Linked DNA regions of Schizosaccharomyces pombe. The gene in region 2 interacts genetically with the main gene of each other region. Each region holds a gene or a part of one and is shown on either strand. Other genes may lie near its edges.

Region 1 (11,030 bases), on a different chromosome or scaffold from region 2:
CTTGTGTCTACGTGTGGATGATAGACATCGGCCTCACGAACCGCGTAATTAACATCATGGCGTAGTAAATTAGGCTTGTTGTTTAAAAAGTCTAATTGTAAAGCACGTAGTTGATCCATGTCCCGTTTACGAACAGATGACTTTGGTTTAGGTGGACGGTAAAATGAATATCCTTGTGATGTGCTGTATGGAGAACTGGGAGTAACAGGAGAATCCAACATTAGACTACTTGAAGATGCTGTATTGTTCTTAGAAGGGACAAGACTCGACGCTTGCGTAACTGGAGGAATACAGTTAGTCTGAACGAATAATTTTGGCGGAGCAGCCTCGCCATCCTTCTTAAGGGAATTAGAACAAACGGAGACTGGCGTAAGTGGCACTGACATTTCATTTGAGTTGTAGGTAGAATGATCAAACATCATTGTGTTGCCATTGGAATATGGATCCTTAAGACGCCGGCGTCTCAATTCATTAATACCAAATACCCTGGCCCAACCAAATGGTCGATCGAGTGGGACACCTTTACTCTCACTTTTAGCACCTAATAACCGTGCACTGACTTCCATAAATCGTTGAGTTGACAGAAGTAAGAAAAGGATACAAACCATTATGTGAATAAACAAAATTGCATAGGCCAGTAAATCTCTACTAATGCCAAGAACCTTTAATCGAGGATCTAAGGGAATCATTAGAATAACCGTGATCAAGCGCATGGTAGAGATGAAGGTGTTTAACGTATTCATACTCGTCTGCGGGAAATGTGGTCGCACATAAGCATACGCCACGACATTAGCAACTTCAAGTATAAAGAATATGGCTAATTGTGCAGAGCCGGAACTTCCTATGACACCAACCGTAATACCACGCATAAATTGTACGGCAATTGGAAAGATCCAAAACATAACTCTCTCTTCTCGAAACGAATTGTATATAGAGCCAAATAAATGCAAATATGTTTGATCTTCAAGAAGTTTGGACGATGGTTCAACAAAAGCGAGATTCATATATAAATACACCGGAATAAAGATTCCAAAAAAGATAAACCACAAAACGGGGATAATTTCATAACCTGTGGGCGGTGCGACAAACTGGAATGACATATAAGCGACGGTAGGGAAATATGTCAAGAAGTAAAGACGTATCAGAGAACCAGCAATGAAGCTCCAAGTATCCCACCGAGTTTCGGCAATAGTTTCATTGAAAATTCTAGACATAAGCCATTTCAAAAAAATAACCAACAATGCTACAAATAACGCAGCAAATAAGTAAATAACCATGACTATAAGAAACGGAAGCCAGCATGCAGTACCTATTCCTATAGAATCGAGAAACGAATACATGCCATATGACTTAGGCAAATAATCCGCATAACTAGAGGATGCTACAGACAAGTCGGCAAAGTCTGCAAATTGATATTCAGCAGGCTCGGAGAAAATGGGAAATCGAAATAGAGCAGTGCCCCAAGAAAGAGCAGCCATAATATTTATGTAAAATTTTGGAAACATAACACTAACCTGAGCTGTAGAAACAGCAAATTGCAAGTATTGCACAAAATCAAAAAATCCAAGGGATGTTAAACGAAGAGCATCAGGGTCCATATTAAAATTAAAAATCGACTTAAATGGATCTAAACTGCCGGTCCATGGATTTAAAAAAAGAGCATAAATAATGGAAAACGAGACATATGCGAGCGACACAACAACCAAATATGAAATAACTGGATAAAAATAATACAAAGTTGTGGACAAACCAAACTTCATACAAGTTATTACATTTTTCTCGGGAGTACCGTCAACAACGATTACTCGCGTTGTTAATGTAGTCAATTCGTATTTTGAGTAATCGGACAAGGTGGATTTAAAGGGAACTTTAACCATGAAAGCGGCACTTCCAGCTGCCCAAGGACATTTTATGGGGACTTCAAAAGAATGAGGATCCATAACAACATCACAAAGCTTTGTGGTATTGGATGTGACCAGTTTTCCTAACGCATAAGTTTCCGAATAAACTGAAGCAGCGTGAATATGTGAGCCATTTCCACCCACAATCGTTATAACTCCGGATAAATTCCCCACTACTTGAATGTAGTACATCCGATTCACTTCATCAAAATTCTTGATAACTGCATATGGGCTAAAGGTAGGAATACCTGCTCTCGGTACAAAGTTTGAACAAGTCTCAAAATAATCCAAACTTGGGGATCCATTCACTGCTGAAAGAAGGCTGTAAAAAACGATATGAAGAAAGAGGAAAACAGAGTACGGGCGAGGCTTCATTATTATCCAAACACAAACATTCTAATAAATTTTAATATAAATAGATCCAACCTTGAATTCTTTTGATTCTCTATGAAACGAAATTTGAAAAAGACTTTAACTGCTCAGGGTTGGTAATTTGAGCAATTACAAATGCAGTTATTTAGAAAGAAAAGAAGGTTTCAAAAAATGAATGCTTTGTAAGATATAAGTAGGCCAGAGACGCGAAACACATAAATTGCTATTTCTCGTGTGTGTAGTTAATGACAAACACATGCTCTCGCGTTCCTTGTCCTAGTATTAGATAATAAAGATTAACTACGCAGCACGTTAGTGAAATTTTATGAAAAATTTCCGGCTCGTTAAATAAATAACATAATAATATACTATTTCGTTATTTTCCAAAGACAAATCTGCTCAAGAAAAGGTCCTAACATTAGCGCTTTATATGCATATATTATAAACCATACAGCGCTATTGAGATATAAAAAAAAACAAATAAGACAAGAAGAACTCAGTAACGTTCTCAAAGACGTTTAAAACTCGAGTCATAAAGTCCCTTCTGCTTTGGTCCTTCAAAATTAAGACAAGCTATCTACTCGTTATTTTTAGTTCTAACTTATCACATAAATATATACATTTAAAATTATTGAAATAATATTCTTGACTTGTTAGATATATAACGTACATTAAATCATCATTACGGGACCAGCTCGCCAAAAGTTTGCTATACTTAGTCTAACATAAATATTTCACTTTTCAAAATTTACGTTTCTTTCCTGAAGCCACGAGTGCAGAGTGTCCAAAGATACATAAACACCGTGCTTTAAAAGTATTTCGAGAAGGTCGTTTGAGGAAATACGTAGGGCATTTGAATTTTTCCATAAATAATGATACAACTTTTTTCCACCAGGGCTTCGAAAGAACGTTGAAATATTAGAAGAACACATTACTTGAGGAACCAGGAGATTATCAGCAACTTTCTTTTCATCGTGTTCGCAATTAACTATCGGATCGGACTCAAGGGTGGTAAAAGACTCTTCTCCAGAATCAGAGGTTGGAAATACCGACATACCAAAACAAGAACCAGCTTGTTCAATATCATAGCGATTATCATCATCGATACGGGTGCATACTCCTCTCAACATGTTTAACTCCCCACTTATCGAAGGTACTTGTTGGGACAATAAGTCACCCTCATTTCCAATTAGGTAATAGACATTAGTTCTAAATGATGATATCCATAAGTAAGGCGTAATTTGACAACCGATATTGCTGTGGTGGAACCCAGGTTCGACATTCATGAGTTCATCAGACAGAGGAAACTTTGGCTTATGCCTTTTAGCAATAGAAATAGCAATTTCTGGATGAACAACTTTGGACTTAAATTGTCTCTTACTAACACGAACTCTAGAATCTTCTGAAACAGAAGCCGTCATAAGTAACGGCTTTTTCTTGGGAATGGTATGGCCAAAGCTTAATGGGGTCAAGCTTTCTGAATGCAATTGATCAACGGAATTATTTTTTTCTTCAAAATATTTGGTAACTCTTGATGTAATACTGTTATAAGAAACCTTCGATTTAGAAGAACGAATGTGTGGTTTCTCAACTTTAGTAAAGTCATGAATATTAGCATTATCCTTTTTCAGGAAAGAATGCAGCGTTTTCTGTCGCGGTGCTGCATGGACTTTCATCTGGTATCGAAACCGCTGAACCTTCTCTGCAAAACTTTGCGCAGCATCATTTTCTTCAACATTAACGTCGTTTAAATTTAAAGAGGGTGCTGTTTCACCTTTAGATTCAATCATTTTTCTTAACTTAGATTTTAAACAACGCAGCACACTTCGTCGATGGATTTATAAGCATCCAAAGACATTTGCTTCTTGTCTTACAAAAAATAGAAAAAGAAAATATATTTTAATCACAAGAGTCAAGGTTAACAAAGAGACTTCATAGTAAAACTACCTGTTGGTTTTTGAGATGAGTTTTGGCGAAACAGGTTACTATCAAATCCCAAAACATAATTTATTTATATCGTTAAGTCTCGGTAAATTGATAAAATGCAGGATTGAGTATTTAATTAAGTAAAATTATATCCATAAAAATAGTTTTAATAAGTTTGTTAGGTCGCTAAAGCAACTAATAGGATATTAGACTCCGGAAAGACATCCTTAATTGTAAATGCCTGGCGAGTATTTGCTAACCGGAATGCTTCGTCCGGGAGAATATCAATATGCGCTTTAACACCCAATTCTTCCAACATGACCTGAGGTGTTGAAAGTTCTGAAACCATTAAATATCCATGATAAATATTTTTTTGTACCTTTGGAAGTCTCTCTATATATTTTAAGGCCCAGAAACGATTAATGTATCTTCCTATAGTTTTAATTGATTTTTCTTTTTGGTTGTACAAATTTAGTTTTCCACGAAGAATACCATCAGGTATAGTATTTTTTGGAGTCTTTAATAATACCGACTGAATCTGATGATGAGTGAAGAAGTCGGTAAACCGGCGTAAAGGAGAGGTAGACTGAATATAGCCATCCTTTAGCCCCAAAGAAAAGTGGGAAACAGGTGTGGAGGCTAAATGTGAACTTTCAAATAAAGGCATTACAGAAAGTGAATACTTAGTTTCAACGAGTCCCCAAGATGACCTGTTACTTAACAAAGTTTCAAACGCTTTTCTTCGTACACCATCCATAATTGGATAAGGCTGGCCCCTAAAAATCCCAGGTAATTTATGTTCTTGAAAAAATAATGATGAAACCCGGCCAGCCAATATCATGCACTCTGATATTACTGATTCTGCCAAGCTATACCCTTCACTAACGTTCAAACTAATTGTAGGGAAGGAAGACCAGTATACTGGATGATTCAGATCACCAAGATTATAAGGGACATTATTAGGCAGCAATTCAACTGTCGGAGTGGGTTGTGCAATAACAAACGCAAACTTTTGTAACCTAGAAAAACAGGCTTGTTTCGAAAGTTCATATATTCTTAATATATCTTTCATGTGATCATTTGATACTCCTTTTGTTTCCTCATCCACTGGTCCAGAAACGATGTCTTTCGCAATTGATCGATTACTATGCAAAGCTTTATCCAGTTGTTGGGGTGTGTATTTGATAACTGAGGAAATGAAGCTAGGCCGAACCTTGTAATCAAGTATATCGCCATTTTTTGAAATTTTAGCACTAAAAGTTAATGCTCTTTGAGCTGTAGAAGATGAATCTAAACTCCAATATTTCTGAGTGATATTGAGAGGTAGCATATACACAATTTTGTTGGGATGATAAATAGTTTGAAAGTTCCTTTCAGCAAACGTGCCTAAAGGACTGCGAATGTCAACTGTACTCGTAGGATTAGCAACATGGATATGAAGCCAGGAATTAGACATCCCTAATTCTTCAACCGAAATCGCATCATCTATCTCTTTCGTAGAAGAACTATCAAAGGCGAACGCTTTAAGATGCCTTAAATCGACGCGTTGCGATTCAAGTGAATCTTTTAATTCATTTTTTACAAACTTTTTAAAGTGATTACACTCACGTTCATACACAGCATCTAACTGAGGATTAGTACCAAGGCCAGCAATGCTGTATTCCTGTTGAAACAACCTCGGGGGCTGCCATGAAGCCCACACGCCAATATCCGTTAAGAATTTAGCAAACTGATCACTAGTTAATCCCCTCTCGTGAGTTTGAAGGCCAACTTCTTTGTAAACCTGACACAAGTGTGTATTTGGTAAACTTTGAATACTTTTTGCAATCATTTCCTGAACAAGATACCGCAATAGTTTTTTTTCAAATTCAGTCCAAGTGACCTGTGAATAAACTACGGGTTTTATTTCTTCGGTGCTTATAGGTAACTTATATTTATCTCGGGAAACTTGAATTAAATGACGAGCTTTCTTTATAAACGAAAGATATGGTGTTGATTTCTGACGCAGGCATGCAACAACGTCGTCAAAAGAATCATTTTGTGAAGAGGGAAGGAAATAGACTTTTTGAATTTCGGAAAATATGTGATCGCTTATTAAAAAATGTTTGCTTTCTGTAAGCAAAAAGTGTAACAATGAGATTTTAGCATATGGGCTAGGCTTCGAAGTTTTGTACACAAATTTCAAAAGGTCTGAAAAAGAAGCTGAATTGTCAAGTTTATTTGGAATATTGAATTCTGTCAATATTCGCAAAAATTCATTTCGGTGACTTCGACTTAAATCTTGTGCTCTTTGAGAGATTTTTTTTAATAACTTTATAGTGAAAGGTAGGACATCAGAAGGAACAGAAACATCAGAAAGAGGTTGCTGCACCTCTTTCAGCTTTTTAAAGACATTAGGACATCTCAGTAAAACTCTAGATGTACGAAATTCCTTAATAGTACCGTTTTCGTTAATGCTGGTCAATACATTACTATAGTTCCAAACATTAGTACCAGTGCATGCAGCAAGTTCAATGCCTTCGGAGCCCCTATAAAACACTAGCAAATCTCCACGATCGTACTGTCTAAAATTCTCACTGCTGAAATCTTCTAAATCAAAAGAATACTCAAAATCATTTTCCAACTTCTCTTCCTCAGATTTTGTAGTAGTAGGACAAACAGCAGCGCGTTTGTCCTTCTCGAACTTGTCTTTCAACCACTGTCTAATGTTTCCATGATTTTCTAATTCAGAGAAAAATTTTTTAAGGTTTTCCTCATTCACGGATTTCAAATTAGCATTTTTAAATCGATCAATAAGATCTGATTGAGTATGCTTCAAACGCGCACCACAATGTCCCCAAAGATGATGATCGTTTGCTGGTTGTTTCCCGAAATTTATTAGGCATCCAGTTATGCGGAAATATTTCAAAACTTTTGAACTGGAAGGGCAAGCATGATGAAATTTCCTTGTAAGTTTACAAGGAGACAATTTTAAAGACAGGCATACACGTTTTAATAAATAATTAGACTCTAAATTAACATTTTGAAGAAGAAACAATTGCCTATAGTTCATGGGCAAAAACCCTATAATTAGTAACACCAAAAATAGTGTTGATGGTAAATTCGACTAGAGAGCTGAACCAGAGCACTTTTAGGTACTAGCAAGTATTAAGGTAACAAGCTCTGCAAATGTAAATGAAGAGTGGTTTAATAACTAATGTAACAGAAGAAAGATTTCAATATGAGTATGGAGTTTTTTGATTTTTTTTTTTTTGAATTGAATGGTCGAGGGGATGGGCGACTTCAAAGTGAAATACATGAAATCACAACCTCAAGGTAAAACTAATTGAAAAATTATATCATTAAAAGAAGGCTGCTTTCCATCAATTACATTTACTTTTAATTATTGAAGCTTCTGGTCTACGCCTAAGCAATTTACTAATAGTGGTATTGGAAAAGAGAGAAAATTAAGAGTCGCCGACGATTTCAAAAATAGTATAAAATACCATGAAATCTTTCCATAATGTTATTTAAATCACTATATGTAAGACGTATTTATATTGGTCTTTAACCCGTTTATTTACAACATTTCAACCAATTAATAAGTAGTGAAATTAACGCAGAAGGATACAAGGAGATTTTTTTATGAATAATTCTTATAAAAAATAGAACAGTAATGTATCAACGTTAGCCCCCAGCGTTTATATTTACGCTTTTGCTTTTTTATTTACATCCCAGCGCCTTCCAACATATAATACATAACGTACTGCGTTCCAATATTTTAAATAATTCGTGTCAACAAGTAGTTAACTACCTGGTCTGATACATACTTCACTTCCACCACTTTATAAACAACGCGTATAAAATAATATGGAACGCCCTACACCTCGAGTTACGAAAGATATGCTACCAGAATGCTCTGGAAAAACGGTTCGGATTGTTGGCAAGGCGAATCAAGTTGAAGGTGAAACTGCAAAAGTCGATTCCAACGGTTCTTTCGATATGCACCTCACTGTGGTACGTTTTATCTATTTTACAATCGGTTTTCAGAGTTTTTTTATTTTATCTAACTAATTTTAGGATAACACTCTTGAACCCAATCATTTCTATGAATTTGTCGTTTCTGTCAAACCAGATTCTTCGGTGCAGCTTTTAACCTGTGTTGATTTTGGCACTGATATTGGTAAGTTGTGTTTATAAAAATAATAAGGAAGTCCTTTGAACTTCTGCTTCTGCTAAGTCCTACATTCTATTGACCGATTAACTAATTTCCTGTTCCTTTAGATATGGAGGTATACCAGAAACTCGTTCTATTCAGTCATAAGTATAACTCACTTTTTTTTGAATAAGAAACATTTTATGGATCATACAACACAGATTTCTCTTTCATTTCTCATGCACAGTACAAATAAACATGGAAGAATAAACGCGCAGAATCTTGCTTCCTTCTTTTGGTTTTTGCATATTTTATTGCATTTCTAAACTCAAGCTTTTCTTTTATAATGATTCTTCCTTTTGGCTAATACAAATATGAATTTTACTATCGTTTATTTCACTTTTTTTGATTCTTGTTTGAGTATTTTTATATAACGTTCTCCTTTTTTCGCACTATCTTATTTAGTGTATCCTTGAGATGCTCATCGCGGACGATTCGGCTCCGAAGACGGTACATACCGGTGTTTCTTACGTTTGCTCATCCTTCAGTCACCCTGCCATTGTAACAATCCAACTACCATATATATACAAAGCGAGCAACGCAAGTATATCTAGTGGTACTACGCTGAATATCGCTTATTCCTAAAGAAAATTGGTTGTTTTGAGAATTATTATATTACTTTTTCCTTTACAAACTTTTTTGCTAAAACTGTTGTTTAGCAGTTATTGAGATTGTTAGAGAAATAACGTTAGAAAACGTGCATATGCAGAAGTTGGATTGTTTCGGAATTGCTCCGATTGAAATACTCTAAATATATCTGACATTTGTTCTTTGCATTTCTGTCTGCGCCTTATCTTTAGAGATCAGACACGTTTCTTTGAATATAATCTAACTTGCTTGCATGTTAAATTGGTCGAAACAGAGATAAAAGATATCCTGGAATTCATGGTAAACCATCGAGATCTCTTACTAAAAATAGAGAAAAAAGAAAAGAGTTAAGTATTTCGAACCCTATAGTAATTTAAGTCTTGGGAAAATACCTTTTTTCATTTAATTCCATTATTTCTAATTTCCTTTGATATTTCTTCTTTTACGGTGAAAAGAATACCCTTTGCAATCTAAACTGTTAATAGTTTATTCAAAACCAACATTCGTTAATTTTATCGATACAAAACCACGATGAAAGATTCGGAACATCACCATCATGGCCACAACGGCTTTAGTAAGTTTCTCCATAAACTTGGTTTTGGCAAGTCAAAAGGAAAATCGCATAAAAGCAATACCAGCAGTATTCATGAAAGAGAAAATACTGCTGCCAAAGGACCCGCCTCTAATGTGCGTCCTGCTCGCCCTAATGTTAGCACATCTTCCACTTCGAACGAGGTCAGAAAATCTGTACCTGTTGGTAATCCTACTGTACATACCAAAACAGGGTCTTCTTCATCTCCTGCCTCAAAGATGAGAAATACAGTCAACTTGCAGCATATTCAAGCAGCTAACCAAAAAACTCGTAATGCTGAAGGTGAAAGAAAGGTCGCTCAACGCAGGGTCCAATCTGATAAAGCTGAAGCTAATGATGCAGCCATGAGTAGTTCAGCTCCAACGGTAGATGTTTCCGAAGGTAATTCTGCCGCTGAACCAAAAATTACACCCGATGATTCAGATACACCCAGACTTAATGTAGATATGAATGATAAAATAAATGTCGATGAAGCTGCTGCTAAATCTGATAGCAAACTTAATGTCGATCAGATTAATTCTACTACGGAATCTGAAAAAAGAGTTGAGAAAGTTAATCCAAATATTGCGAATAATCCGCTAAAATCACCGGATGCAGTAGCATATAGCAGTGAGACGGTTTCTGATGAAAAACAACCTACTGAGCATCCTGTATCTGCTAATGTCCCTGCAAAATCTGAAAAAGCTGTTTGTGATGAAAATACCAAAATTTCGCTTACAAACACAGAGCATTACAAGTTTCATTCACTTCGCGGAGACGTTGAAGTTGTTGTTGGTGATTTGGAACGTGACGGAAGAGATACCTCTTTAGGCGATGCTTCGGTAAATGAAGCCGCTAAAGAAACTGACGTCGACTCTAGTCGTTTTATTTCAGATGAAAAAGCCGTGACTGAGGATGCGATGAAAACTGAACATGCCTCCAATGCCCCTCTCACTGATGAAAGGCATTTTCAGTTCCATTCTTCTGAAGGAGACATTGAAGGAATCGTTGGGACAATGCAGCGCCAAAGACAATCTGTCTCTTCGTATGACACTATCGTTCCTAGCCAATTCTATAAACAGAAGGTGGTGCAAAATAGCCCCCCAAGCTTGTTGAGCACTGATAACAAAATTCCAGAATCCGGCTCAGATCATCCCTCAAGTCAAGATAATTCCAGTAAAGCATCCTTGGTAGAAAACTCTCAGACACAATCATCTACTCCGAGAAAGCCGTTGCCAACTACCACTAGTCCTAAAGTAAATCCGGAACCGCATAGCGAAAGTATATCTGACACACGACCTTCTACTCCTAGAAAAGTGCCACCAAGTACAGTTCCTAAAATGAACCCGAAGCTCCAGGGTGGCAATAGCGTTACAGCCCCTTCCACCCCTAGTAAAGTGTTGCCAGCGATGAGTCCCAAGGTGGCTCCCAAATTCCAAGGTGGACGCAGCAGTACAGCGCCCTCTACTCCTAATAA
Region 2 (12,548 bases):
TGGAATCAGCGGTATGGAAGGGTTACAAGCAGTTCGAAGCTCTGATTTTTCAATTTCCCAATTTTGCTATTTAAAAAAATTGTTACTTGTTCACGGATCTTGGTGTTATCAGCGTCTCAGCAAACTTATTTTGTACTCGTTTTACAAAAACATTGCTCTCTACATGACTCAGTTTTGGTACGCTTTTTGCAATGCATTTTCCGGCCAGGTAATTTTTGAGTCTTGGTCTATTTCACTGTATAATGTGCTTTTTACTGTTCTTCCACCGGTGGTAATAGGTATATTTGATCAGTTTGTAAGCGCTGGTCAACTTTTTCAGTATCCGCAACTTTATCAATTAGGTCAAAGAAGTGAATTTTTTAACTTAAAAAGGTTTTGGTCTTGGATAACAAATGGGTTTTATCATTCACTTCTTCTATTTCTTTGTTCCATTGCTGTGTTTTACTATGATGGTCCTAATAAGGATGGTCTCGCGTCAGGTCATTGGGTGTGGGGTACTACACTTTACGCTGCAATACTAGCTACTGTTTTAGGTAAGGCTGCCTTAATTAGTAATCATTGGACTCAATACACTGTAATTGCTACCCTCGGATCTTTCTTGCTATGGATAGTGTTTATGCCCATTTATGCTGTTGCAGCACCCGCTATCGGATTTTCAAAGGAGTACTACGGAATAATTCCACATCTTTACGGGAATCTAAAATTTTGGGCTTCCCTACTTGTTTTGCCAACAATAGCACTGATGCGTGACTTTGTGTGGAAATATTCATCCAGAATGTATTATCCTGAGGAGTATCATTACGTTCAAGAAATTCAGAAATATAATGTCACAGACTATAGACCTCGTATTGTCGGGTTTCATAAAGCTATCAGGAAAATAAGACAGATGCAGAGAATGCGTAAACAGAGAGGGTATGCTTTTTCTCAAGGTGAAGAGGACCAGTCAAGGATTTTAGATGCATATGATACTACACATACTCGTGGAGCATACGGTGAAATGCGTTAGATACGTATTTTTCTCTATTATTTTATATTACATTCGCTTTTGGTTTCTAGATCTCAGATTTCGATGAGTTTTACGATGTTAAGTTGTTTTAGTTTATCACTCGTTTAGAATTATTATGTTATTCATCCTATTAATCGATTAACAAGACGTTTTTTCTGTATTACTGTAAGAATTTCTTAAAGCATAAAGACGCATTGGTACCACCAAATCCAAAGCTGTTTGACAAAGCAACATTAATGCGGCTCTCTTTAGCCACATTCGGCACATAATCGCACTGAAACTGCTGAGGAATATCAGAGTATTCGAAATTTAACGTAGGGGGTAAGACGCCCTATACAGTTTTGTTAGCAATAGAAAGTTTGAGTAGAATAAAATACCTTTTGGACAGTCAAGACCGTATAGACAGATTCGATTGCACCTGCTGCTCCTAAAAGATGGCCAATAGAGCCTTTGCTACTAGATACAGGAAATGCCTCAGGATTCCGGTTCACATCACAAAGTAACCTAGTAATCGCTATGCTTTCTGCTACATCTCCAAGCTTGGTTGAAGTTGCATGAGCATTGATATAATCCAATTGACTTGCAGAAAGACCAGCTTGTTTTAAGGAACGCTTCATAGCATAGTAAGCAGCATCCCCATTTGGATTTGGAGCTGTAATATGATATGAATCAGATGCCAAACCATAACCGACTATTTCAGCATATATATGAGCATTTCGATTTTTGGCATGCTCCAATTCCTCAAGGACTAAGGCAGCGGAGCCTTCTCCAATTACAAATCCATCACGATTTGCATCAAACGGTCTTGAGGCCGCTTTTGGATTATCGTTGAACTTGGTTGACAAGCTTCTTGCTTTTGAAAAACCAGCAACGGTTAGCGGATTAATACAGGATTCAGAACCACCGGCAATAATAACATCTGCATGTCCAAGCTTTATAAAATTGAAGGCATCTCCTATAGCATGACAACCTGCTGCACATGCTGTAGTTGTTGTGTGATTTAAGGCAGTAAAACCATATCTTTGTGAAATATACCCTGCTGGCATATTAATTAGTATTTTAGAAATGACCCTCGGTGAAACTTTTCTTATTCCAGCCTTATTTAATACACCGTTTTCATTTAAAGCATCGTCAAGATTTCCTATGCCAGTTCCAAAGCAAACTCCCTTTTTTGTTAGTATACAGTTTTCTGGATTCACATACCGTTGCTAGCTTTTCTTGTTCATCTATGTCAATCCACCTTGCATCTTTTAATGCTTCAGCTGCAGAAGTGAGAGCTAACTGGGTAAAAGTAGCTACTTCACGTAATTTCCCTTGGTCAACGTAGTCTAATACATTCCACTCTTCCTTTTCTTTTCCCCTTGGTATCACTCCAGCAACTTTGCTTGGTATTTGCTCATACTCAGGAAATCCTTTAAGAGATACGATACCTGATTTTCCTTGAATTAGATTTCGCCAATTGGTTTTAACTCCATTGCCTAGAGGGGTTACGGCCCCCAGTCCAGTTATTACCACACGTTTCATTTTTCTAGCATTACTTTGTGGAAATAATAATAGATTATCTGTCGTTTCTTTCGACAGGGTATTTGAGGCGAGAATTTAACAGTATATAAATCGATCAAAACTGTGTTTATGTTATCGATTTCAAAGTTCTGATTGAAAGTGGATTAAATGTTCAGTTTTTATGCATGGTCAAGGTGTGTTGGCTATTAAAGTTAAGAGACTGATTGAAGCGAGGTGCACCCTGTTCGTTTAATTACAGTTTATGCGATAGTTAAAGATTACTAGAAGGTGGCCTTGTAACAATTACTTCCTGTACATAATTAAACATCCTCAAGGAATACCGCTGTTATAGAAATGAATTAGCACCATAGGAAAAATAATAATAAATGTAAAGCTCAAATTTAATAAACAAAGAAGAAATTAAATATATGAATATATTATTAAAATTATTTCTATGAATAAAATTACCTAATTAGTCTAAAATCACTGTACACTTCAACCATATATATTCAGGCCGTTATGAATAAATCTTTAGTACATGGTAAACTCGTAAAAATTGATTTTTACTTATTTTTGACTCCCCTCATTTGAACTGGAGCCTTGTTTTCATTACGTATCGGCAAACCATTAACAGAAGCCAGTTGTTTATAGAATTGCACGACTTTGGGGTGTGCCATCACCTTCGCAGGCGAAAAATTAAGAACCTGGAGACCTTCTTGAGTAGTTGCACGAGATAAGGCAACATACGCTTGCCCTTTCTCAAAAACACGACCCAAATCAACCTTGACTCGATCCAAAGTCTGTCCTTGTGCCTTGTGAATAGATATCGCATAAGCCAAAATAAGAGGAATTTGGCTTCTAGAAGCTTGAACCTCACCATTGGGAAGCTCAATATTCCAAGTTTCCCGTTGTACAACAATTGTACGTTCACCTCCATTTGGAAGTTTAAAACGAACTAATGGCCATTTTATTGCCGTGGATGAAGCTTTACGCATTGCAATCAATTTATATTTCTTTTGCTTAACGTCTGGAAGATCAAAGGGTGAAATGTCTAAACTATCATATTCAAAAGCATTTCTTCCCTGCATTTCAGCATCCTTTTTTTCCATTTGATAGGTCTCATCATCTATGAAACCTATAACTTTTCCAAGAGATCCATTTACTAACTGATCATCTATATTCTTTATAAGCATTACCTGAGCATTTACCTTTAACACTAAAGTGGCAGGAGCCATGCACCCTTGCAGTAATCGGTCACGAAATTCTTTATCTCGAACAGTACCCGAGTCAATAGCGGTAAACGTGACAGGATTTTGATTAATTTGTTGCATACGCATATCGTTCGAACGCTCAACCTCATAACGTGTGGGAAATAACTCTGTCGGAAGAAGCCCATCTTCATATTCAATCGTTCTATTAAGAACTTTGAATTTTCTAACCGATTCATCAGATAATTTCCCGAGGCGCAATTCATTAAGCATTTTGACAAATTCCTCATCCTTTTGCCGAAAAACGTGAGTCAATCCTATTGTAAAATCAAGTGCGCTTTTCCATGTCTGAGATTCGAAACAGAATTTCGATTCTTTCCCATTTTCTGGAACAGGAGGTAACTGAAAAAAATCCCCAGTTAAAACCAACTGAATTCCACCAAATGGCTTACTATCTTTGCGAATAACACGCGCAACCTCTTCTAACTTGTCCATTAATTCAGCATCGACCATAGAAACTATAGTTATTAGTAAATATAAACTCACTTAAATTGTTTACCTTCATCAATGATCAAAACTCTGGTGCGCAACCAACGATTAACACACTTCTTATTTTTCTTTATTTTAGATACCAGGAGGTCGACAGATTCACGAGCAAGGCCTACCCCAGCAAAGGAGTGAAGTGTTACACCGCCGATATTACAGGCTGCCAAGCCTGTAGAAGCGGTAACAGCAACTCTGTCAGATTGCTTTCTATATTTAGATTTTAGGACTTCAATTATTTTTCGGAGGAGAACAGATTTACCTGTTCCAGCAGAGCCCGTAAAAAATATACTGTGTTGTTGCTCAACAACCATGTCTAAAATTCTTTTTTGCTCATCGGAAAGGAATATGCTAGGGACAGATTTTTTACGAGAATCACTTGTCTTAAACAAAGAAGATCCTATTGGCGATTTGGAAGCAGAGTTTAAAGGAACAGAAAATTTTTTAGATATCTGTGGGGTAGACTTAGATTTACTCATGCGTTTTTTAGCCAGACTATCCAAAGAACTGCTTCGTCCATTGCTAAGCTTATTTGAAGAATCATTAGATACAGTGTGTTGACTGATATCAGCTGAAGTGCTGGTTCTTTTAGGATCAGGATCTCCATATCTGTAAGGATCCACTGCCCAAGGAAGGGTTCGTGAGCGTTTTATTCCCTGCCTCGTAATATTACTAGATATTACGCTACTTGCGCCTTTTTCAGAAGTATGGTCTTCGTAAATTTTTGAGAGATGATTTTTTGACCGCTTTTCGCTCGAGAGCATTGATTTAGTTAACTTAGTATGCTCGATAGGGGATGAAGACCAAGGAATTGGTTTTTGGTCAATATCGTTTTCTAAAAGTAGATCATCATCAAAGTCATTTTCATCAATATAGACGCCATTCGCTATTTCAGTGGAGTATTTACTACCCAAGCCAGAATTTTCAAAAACGGGCAGTGAGGGTTTCGAAACATCGAATCCCACGGTGTTATCAAGTTGTTTTAAGCTAGCAGCAGAACGACCTCTTTTGGCTGGTAGGGTTATTGGAGATGACGGAAGGTTATCAGACTGGCTAGAAAATGTTTGCTGATCATCATTAGTAGAGGAGCGAGAGGAATTGAAGTTTAAAGAAGCGGACGAAAAACCGCCCAATTTGTTCAAGGAGGGTTGATGCGATGACTCGTTTTGTGTATGAAGCAAGCTGCTTTTCTGCTGAGCTCTTTGAAACATGACGGGGATACGTTTCCTAAAAGAGTGACTAAATTTATAAAGAGATTGGCACGAAAACATTCATCGAATTACTTCAAGAAACTGGAAGGCGATCTGTACGCAGGTTGTCTAAAAAAAGAAACCGTAAACGAAATAGATCACCCAAAATTGTTTGATCGAAGAAAAGCAACAAGAAAACAATTTCAGTTTGAATTTAAACAACAATCTGCTACTGACTTATGCGACCTCGACCTAACACCTATGATAAGCGGTCCAAGCACATAAGAGTTGGAAGTATCCCTTTGTTGATTGTATTAATTGGGATACCGGTTGAAGAAATTTGTCAATGTCGAGGAAACGGCTGTTGACAAGGAGGTACAGAAATGAAAGCGCTATACTAATAAAAATCAAATTTACGGTGGTAGTGGACGAGACAAATGAAAGCGCGTATGTCAAGACGCGTCACGTCTGTCACCACCAGGCACGTGTTTTTTACTTCACAACTTTTGCACAAATTTTTTATCATTCAATACTGTAATTATCATAAAGTCCTTTTTACATTAGTCGTTCCTTAAGTATAACTTGCATAATTTGCTTTCGGGGCCTATGCAATGCAATGCAAATAAATTGACTTTTGTTATAATATGTTACAATCGAAGCAAATATTAACCCGTGTTTACAGTAAGTTATTAATTTTATAATATTTGATAAAACGCGTCTACGATACCATATCCTCGGAAGTCTGTAAATAATAAATGCTATCAATTAATAAATTATATACTGTATGTAGACTAAAACAATCAATACTAAGTCGAAAATTCAATAATGAGCGACAAACGATTTAAATTCGTTGACCAACCAACTTTGGTAAAGATACACAAAAACATGCATCTTTAGGTAAGTATCGTGTTCTTCAGCAGTCCGTGTCAAACATCCCGTTTTAAAGAGACTTTAGAAGTGGAAAATAACATAAAAATACAAGGTTACGGTTATCACAAATACCTAGAGTCATAGGAGGGATAACTTCAACAGTAAGGATTGCCAATCGATTTGTACTACCGACAAATTTAAAAGGAAGAACAATTAGATTAATAAAATTTCAAAAAAAATGAAAATAGCAAACAAAGAAACTAGAAAGAATGAGAAAAAATTAATAGTAAACATTTATAACTCAATATAAAAAAAACAGTATATTGGATTCAGCAGAAGTACTAAGGATAAGAAAGATTCAAAAAATGCAAATATCACAGAGCACATGTACTTTTGTAATTTCTAGTTAACCTTCTTTGCATTCTTAGCCTTTTGCTTTTTCTCGTAAGGAGTTTCAGACTTGGGAGGCATGTAAGTTCCCAAAACGTGGTCCCAGAAGGTAAAGAAGGGCTGGCTAAAGTTCTTTTGGAAACCGTAAGGTTGGTGATGAAGGTCATGGTAACGAGCATTATTGGCAAAGAACATTTGAAGAGGGTCATAAGGGAATACGTATCCACAGTGATCATCAACAGTCTTCAAGGTAGAAAGGGTGAAGAAAATAACAGCTTGTTGAGGAGAAAGACCGGCGGCGAGATAAGCAACACCAGCGCCAAAAGTGTCCAAAATCAAACCTTCAAAGGGATGGTTGTAAAGGGCACCCATAGCATAGGGAACTTGGAGACGATGGTGATGGGCATGAATCATGTTGTAGAGCTTCTTGTTGTAGTGGAGGTAACGGTGCCAGAAGTATTGCCAGCTGTCAATGATGAAGAAAGCAAAGAAGTATTGGAATGCGGGAACAATAAAGTTATAAGCCAATTTAGGGGCAAAGGGAGCAACTTGTAACAAAGCAGGCAAATTCTTGCTGAAGAAAGCCTCGTAGCGTAACATTTGCTTAGCCTCGTCAATGGGTTCAGGATAGCCCTCGAACATGGCCAATGCGATTCCAACGACGACTTCGCAAAGTTGTTGGAAAAGCACGGCTTTAACAACAGCCATCTGAGGAACACGGTTGCGTCTGGCTATCTCCTCCGGAGGATGAATGCGATACTTCTCAAAGACAGGTAATTCAATGTAATGCAAAAATCCGAAGAAAGCAGAAGCAACCCAGTAAATGATGACAGGAGAAACCAAGGAAACGGTCACTGGGTTCCAGGTAGTTAACATTTCAACGGTGGTAACCATAGTGGCAAGAAAAATTCAAATTCGAAAATATAGCAAAAAGTTAAGTGAAAGTGTAAGAAAAGAGAGAAGCTGATTAGTTATATATATGCGAATATATATCTATGTGTCTAGACTGAAGAAAGAAAACAGTTGGTACAATATATACAAATCACAAACGGCAAGAAATGTGATTTATACAAACAATTGAAAAACGATGAAACCAATAAGGAACCTTTTAAAACAACAAGTAATAAAAAGGATATTTAAACGAAACAAACCTCTTTATTTGTTCGATTTTCAATAATTTGTCTTTGGGAAAAACAAACTATCAAACACAACGATTGTGGCGGAGGTTCGGTGAGCTAGTTTGCGATGGTGACAATTTATATAATGCAAAGCAAAGTTTAAGGTACAAGCTTTGCGCGGCTGTCTTTGTCGATTTACCGATTTAAGCAGCGAGATGTAGTTAATTTTTAAGAAACGGAACTTTCGCCAACGAAAAAATCCGAAATTGATCAGTATGGACCAACAAAATTAAATTGATAAATTATATCGATCTGTCTCAAGGGAGAAGGGAAGGCGAGAACAAAAGTAATAACCGTCGGTGTTTTTAGACACAAATGGAATTACAGATAAATTAGAAACTTGCAAGTTTTCAAGTTTGAACACTAAAAGATGTCAAAAAATTGAGACGTATTGTATTCGGCAATAACAAGACCTTGTTATTTTAACAACCAAAAACTAAGTGCCTACAATAATTTGCAATTGAAACTATTACAAGAAGGGATTAAAGATTAAGCTAGATTGCTTGACCCTAAAGTTGTGAAAGACTTTTTGAAAAGTAGAGGAATTGGATGTTTTTGAACTGCGGAATGCAGGTTAAAACTGCGATATATATATTTTGCTGGTGTTCTTGAAAACACGAGATTTTTTTACAAATCGTATCATCTCATTGTAGGCAAAATCTGATGTTTTTTTTTTGCTGGTAACATGTGATGTAGCGGATCTAAACTACACTACACTATATTAGAGCGGGAAGCAAATATATCTCGCTATAATTGTTAGGGACTAAAAAATGTGGCTACAAGTCGTAGCATTCAACGGAAGCTTTTTGTTACTTTTTACTCCCTTTGATACTGGGATTTTTTTAAACTATCGGAAGGGTTAAAGTTGTACATTCCGCTGAACACAGATAGTAAAAAAAATCGTTTGACAAAAAAAAAAAAATTTGTTTTCCGTTTTTTGTTTGGAATCCGTCTAGGTCGTTAGTAATTTAACAATTTCAGCGAAAGACAGCAATTGAATGGGTTTTAATTTTCGGTACAAAGAGAATTGACTTTTTATGAAGCGACTACGAAGGACACTTGATATTGCTATTTTCAACAAAAAATAACATAATGTCGATAATTAAACTACCACGGCTTGTAAATAGAAAATAGCACTGAAGCGACCTGTGAAATTGTCAGCGTGCTATTGCTAAACAATGATTCCGTGTAATTTTATATGATTGTGCTTTCATAACAGATGTGCATGCGTAGAAAGAAAAGCTATAAACAATCAACATAGAATACCATTCACACTAGGAGTAGCATACCTTAAACTCATAGGATCCAATGAATTAACTTGCAAATCCATTTAATAGTTAGATTGACTGATTTGTACCAAATTGGTAAAATGCCGGTCCCCATCCCCTCTAAAAAAAGGACTCTTTTATTTACCGGGATGCCATTGACATCTCTTCTGTTTTGCATGTTTTGGAATTGAAAATGCAATAATAAAAAGGAATCAATAATTTTGGATTCCTGTCTAATAATTGACGGTTTTGTTATCTTGGTTGAAAAATCCATCCCAGCTGCCTAAAAGCTGCTACAACCTTTGTTTAATTAGTGCGACACAGTTAAAAATACTATATGTTTCGTAATACAGTGGATGATTTCCATTAAACTTTTGACTAGATCAGCAGCGATTTTTAAAGTACATTATACCTTAGCCGGCTAAAAACATATGGATTTGGAAAAACTACTAATGAATGTATTAAGAGTGAACATTACAGTCGGGTGCTTTGCAGTACAAATATCCTGGTAGCTGCATTAAGAAAAAGATATAGTAAAGCTGTTAGTACAAAAAAAAAAGTAGTAAATAATAATATAATAAAATAACGCTTGATAGTCTTTTAAGAATTTCATTTTTCGAATACCGCCTTGTGAATTATGCGTAGTTTACTTGTATCTATATCGTTTCAAATTTTCATACTTCAAGGATTTCCCTAAATGAATTCTTGAATCCCCCACTGAAGTCTTTTTATCCCACTTTAATTTCATACCACAGTTAAAATCATTTGCTAACCTTCTATAGCATATAAACTTATGTACCCCCAGTAAGGTCTTTTTCCCCACTTTAACTTTTAGTATTAGCTGCACCTACCAGCATATGTCCCCCACATGTGTTTTTCTTTTTACTATGAAGGTTCAATAATGGGGGTATTCAAGTCAAAATAATCTTGTATCTGTACCGTCAGAGAAAACTCACCAAACGAACGAGCACAAGTATTAAATCTATAATCACTTACCTTAATGATTTCGTTTACTTTAATTATCTTATAATTGCATGAATTTTGATAAGCGATTGCAAAAACGAACAAATGTGATATAAATATGTTTGTATAGGTGATATCTTAAACATGGCTCGGACCAATTTACAATATCCTTACAAAGTCCTGTGGTGTGCTCAAGTTAAAGTCGTTAAAACGGGTTTAATTAATTTTTTTGCTCCTAGCATTCAGCGTCAACGTGAGAGAGTATGTGAGGGTTATCTACATGAAACCCCCCTGTTACTAATGCAAGTAGTAGAAAGAGAAGCAATAACTTTAGCAAAGACAGAATTCAAAAATAGTTTTAGTAATCTTCATTTTTTCTTTCTTTTTTGGCTGCTTAATTTCATTTTATTTTTCAGAATACATTTGTATTCTTGCAATTTTCGCATGTCGATTATTTGTGAAGAATACTACTAATGTTATCATTGTTACTTTTAAGAATTTTTTATATCTTTGGAGTAGGTTATTGGCAGTGGAATTTTGAGTTTATCTCATTTTTTGAAGTAGCGAAATTGACGCAGTATCTGATAGCACAGCTATTGGCTGTTAAATATAAGCGCCCAAATTTGACTAGTATTTAACAGTCCTTGGGTCCATCAGCGACACTTTGCATTTTTTACAAACTTTTTTCTAAACACCAATTTCTATTTCTTTGCAGTAATAAAGAGGTCCTGGACTGAAAACTCACTGTTGTACTTAATTAGGTGTAGGTTTGCATCCAGTTGATAAGGATTATAAAGTTTTTTCAATCTTCACGTTGAGATCGAGATTCATCGCTTAGCAGAAAATTTTTAGATTAGTGGTAGGTCGAAAAGGTTCTGGATTTTAGAAAACGGCTTTGATCAAACAACTTTAAAGATTAGATTGCTTTTATCTCGATCTTTGTTTACAATTTCATCAAAAGTTTTTTAAATTGCTTTTACTGTTTTTGAGGTTTGGAAGCAAAATCGGTTTCTTTCCTTGTGGGTTTTGGGATTTCTCTAATATTTGTATCTTTAATAAGTAATCTATTTTTGTGAAAAGGGCTTTTTGCTTAGCATTAACACGGATCTTTCCGTTGATTTGTTGTGTTTTATTTATCCTCGGCAGGTTATTTGGATACCTAGTGTAATATATATACATATATTATAAGTATTCTCGTTTTTATTGTTTTAATATTTCAATCCTCTTTTCTTTTTTTCCTTAGTTTATCGAGAAGATGAGCATCACACAAAAAGTAAGGAATTGGGTCGAAGAGTTCGACGTGATCGTCGCTCGTTCGGCATTCGGACGTTGGTTTCGTCTAGAGGGATGTGGTCATCCTCGGGAGCGTAAAGGCAGTCGCTTTTCTCTCGAAATTAGTGCTGGTCTTACTACCTTTTTTGCAATGGCTTACATTTTGGCTGTCAATGCTACCATTCTCGTAGATACGGGCGGCACTTGCGAATGTACTGAAGCTAATCGTGATGATTGTGACAAACTTGATGACTATGTACTTTGCAAAGAAGACTTTCATCGTGATCTCGTCACAGCCACCGCTGCCATTTCTGCTCTCGCTTCTTTCTGCATGGGTCTTTTTGCCAATATGCCCGTGGGTATGGCCCCTGGTATGGGTTTAAATGCTTATTTTGCGTACCAAGTTGTCGGATATAATGGCACTGGACGTGTTTCCTATCGAGAAGCTCTTTTAGCTGTTTTTGTTGAAGGATTCATCTTTACTGGTTTAACTGTTATAGGTCTACGCCAATGGCTGGCGCGAGTTATTCCTGCCTCTTTGAAATTTGCTACTGGTGCTGGTATTGGTTTGTATCTCACAATTATCGGACTCAGTCCAAGTGCTGGGTTAGGAGTCATTGGGCATTCCTCATCTGATATTGTCGCTTTAGGAGGATGCCCTCCAGAATACCTAAACGCTGATTATAGCTGCAACGGTCATCAATTACAATCAGGAAGAATGTGGGTAGGTATATTCTGTGGCGGTGTTCTCACTGCTATTTTAATGATGTACAAATTTAAAGGTGCTGTCCTTGCTGGAATCGCACTTGTCACTATCACAAGTTGGCCTAGACGCTCATTAGTAACTATGTTTCCCCACACGCTTACAGGGGATTATAATTTTGATTTTTTCAAAAAGGTTGTTAGCTTTCGAAAAATTAACCGTATTCTTGTTGCCCAACAGTGGAACGTTACAGGCGGTCAATTTGCCATTGCACTGATTACTTTTCTGTACGTTGACATTATGGATATGACTGGTACACTTTACTCAATGGCTAACTATGCTGGTTTGGTCGATCCTCGTACTCAAGACTTTGAAGGATCCGCAGTTGCTTACATCGTCGATGCTTTAAGTATTTCTATTGGGTCACTTTTTGGTTGCTCACCTGTTACTGCTT

What was found.
Region 1: of pfh1 (region 2) and pxd1, a mutation in one rescues a mutant of the other (synthetic rescue), as found in Schizosaccharomyces pombe (one study listed by BioGRID).

What each region holds. Positions count from the first base shown.
Region 1 is NC_003421.2:1,279,383-1,290,412, reverse strand, and holds pxd1 (protein Pdx1), read right to left. Parts: upstream 4,248-11,030; 5' UTR 4,064-4,247; coding exon 3,008-4,063; 3' UTR 2,882-3,007; downstream 1-2,881. Other genes in the region: trp1322 (TRP-like ion channel protein), read right to left, coding at 1-2,276; rpm1 (3' ssRNA-specific 3'-to-5' exonuclease), read right to left, coding at 4,378-7,251; DNA replication factor A subunit Ssb3, read left to right, coding at 8,049-8,195, 8,259-8,361, 8,463-8,527; pdr16 (sec14 family protein), read left to right, coding at 9,514-11,030.
Region 2 is NC_003423.3:3,564,658-3,577,205, forward strand, and holds pfh1 (DNA repair and recombination protein), read right to left. Parts: upstream 5,820-12,548; 5' UTR 5,532-5,819; coding exon 4,277-5,531; exon of another isoform or gene 4,236-4,276; coding exon 3,073-4,235; 3' UTR 2,936-3,072; downstream 1-2,935. Other genes in the region: SPOM_SPBC887.12 (P-type ATPase), read left to right, coding at 1-1,006; cem1 (3-oxoacyl-[acyl-carrier-protein]-synthase condensing enzyme), read right to left, coding at 1,167-1,337, 1,384-2,172, 2,210-2,530; sphingosine hydroxylase/sphingolipid delta-4 desaturase Sur2, read right to left, coding at 6,723-7,604; SPOM_SPBC887.16 (uncharacterized protein), read left to right, coding at 10,264-10,593; SPOM_SPBC887.17 (transmembrane transporter), read left to right, coding at 11,375-12,548.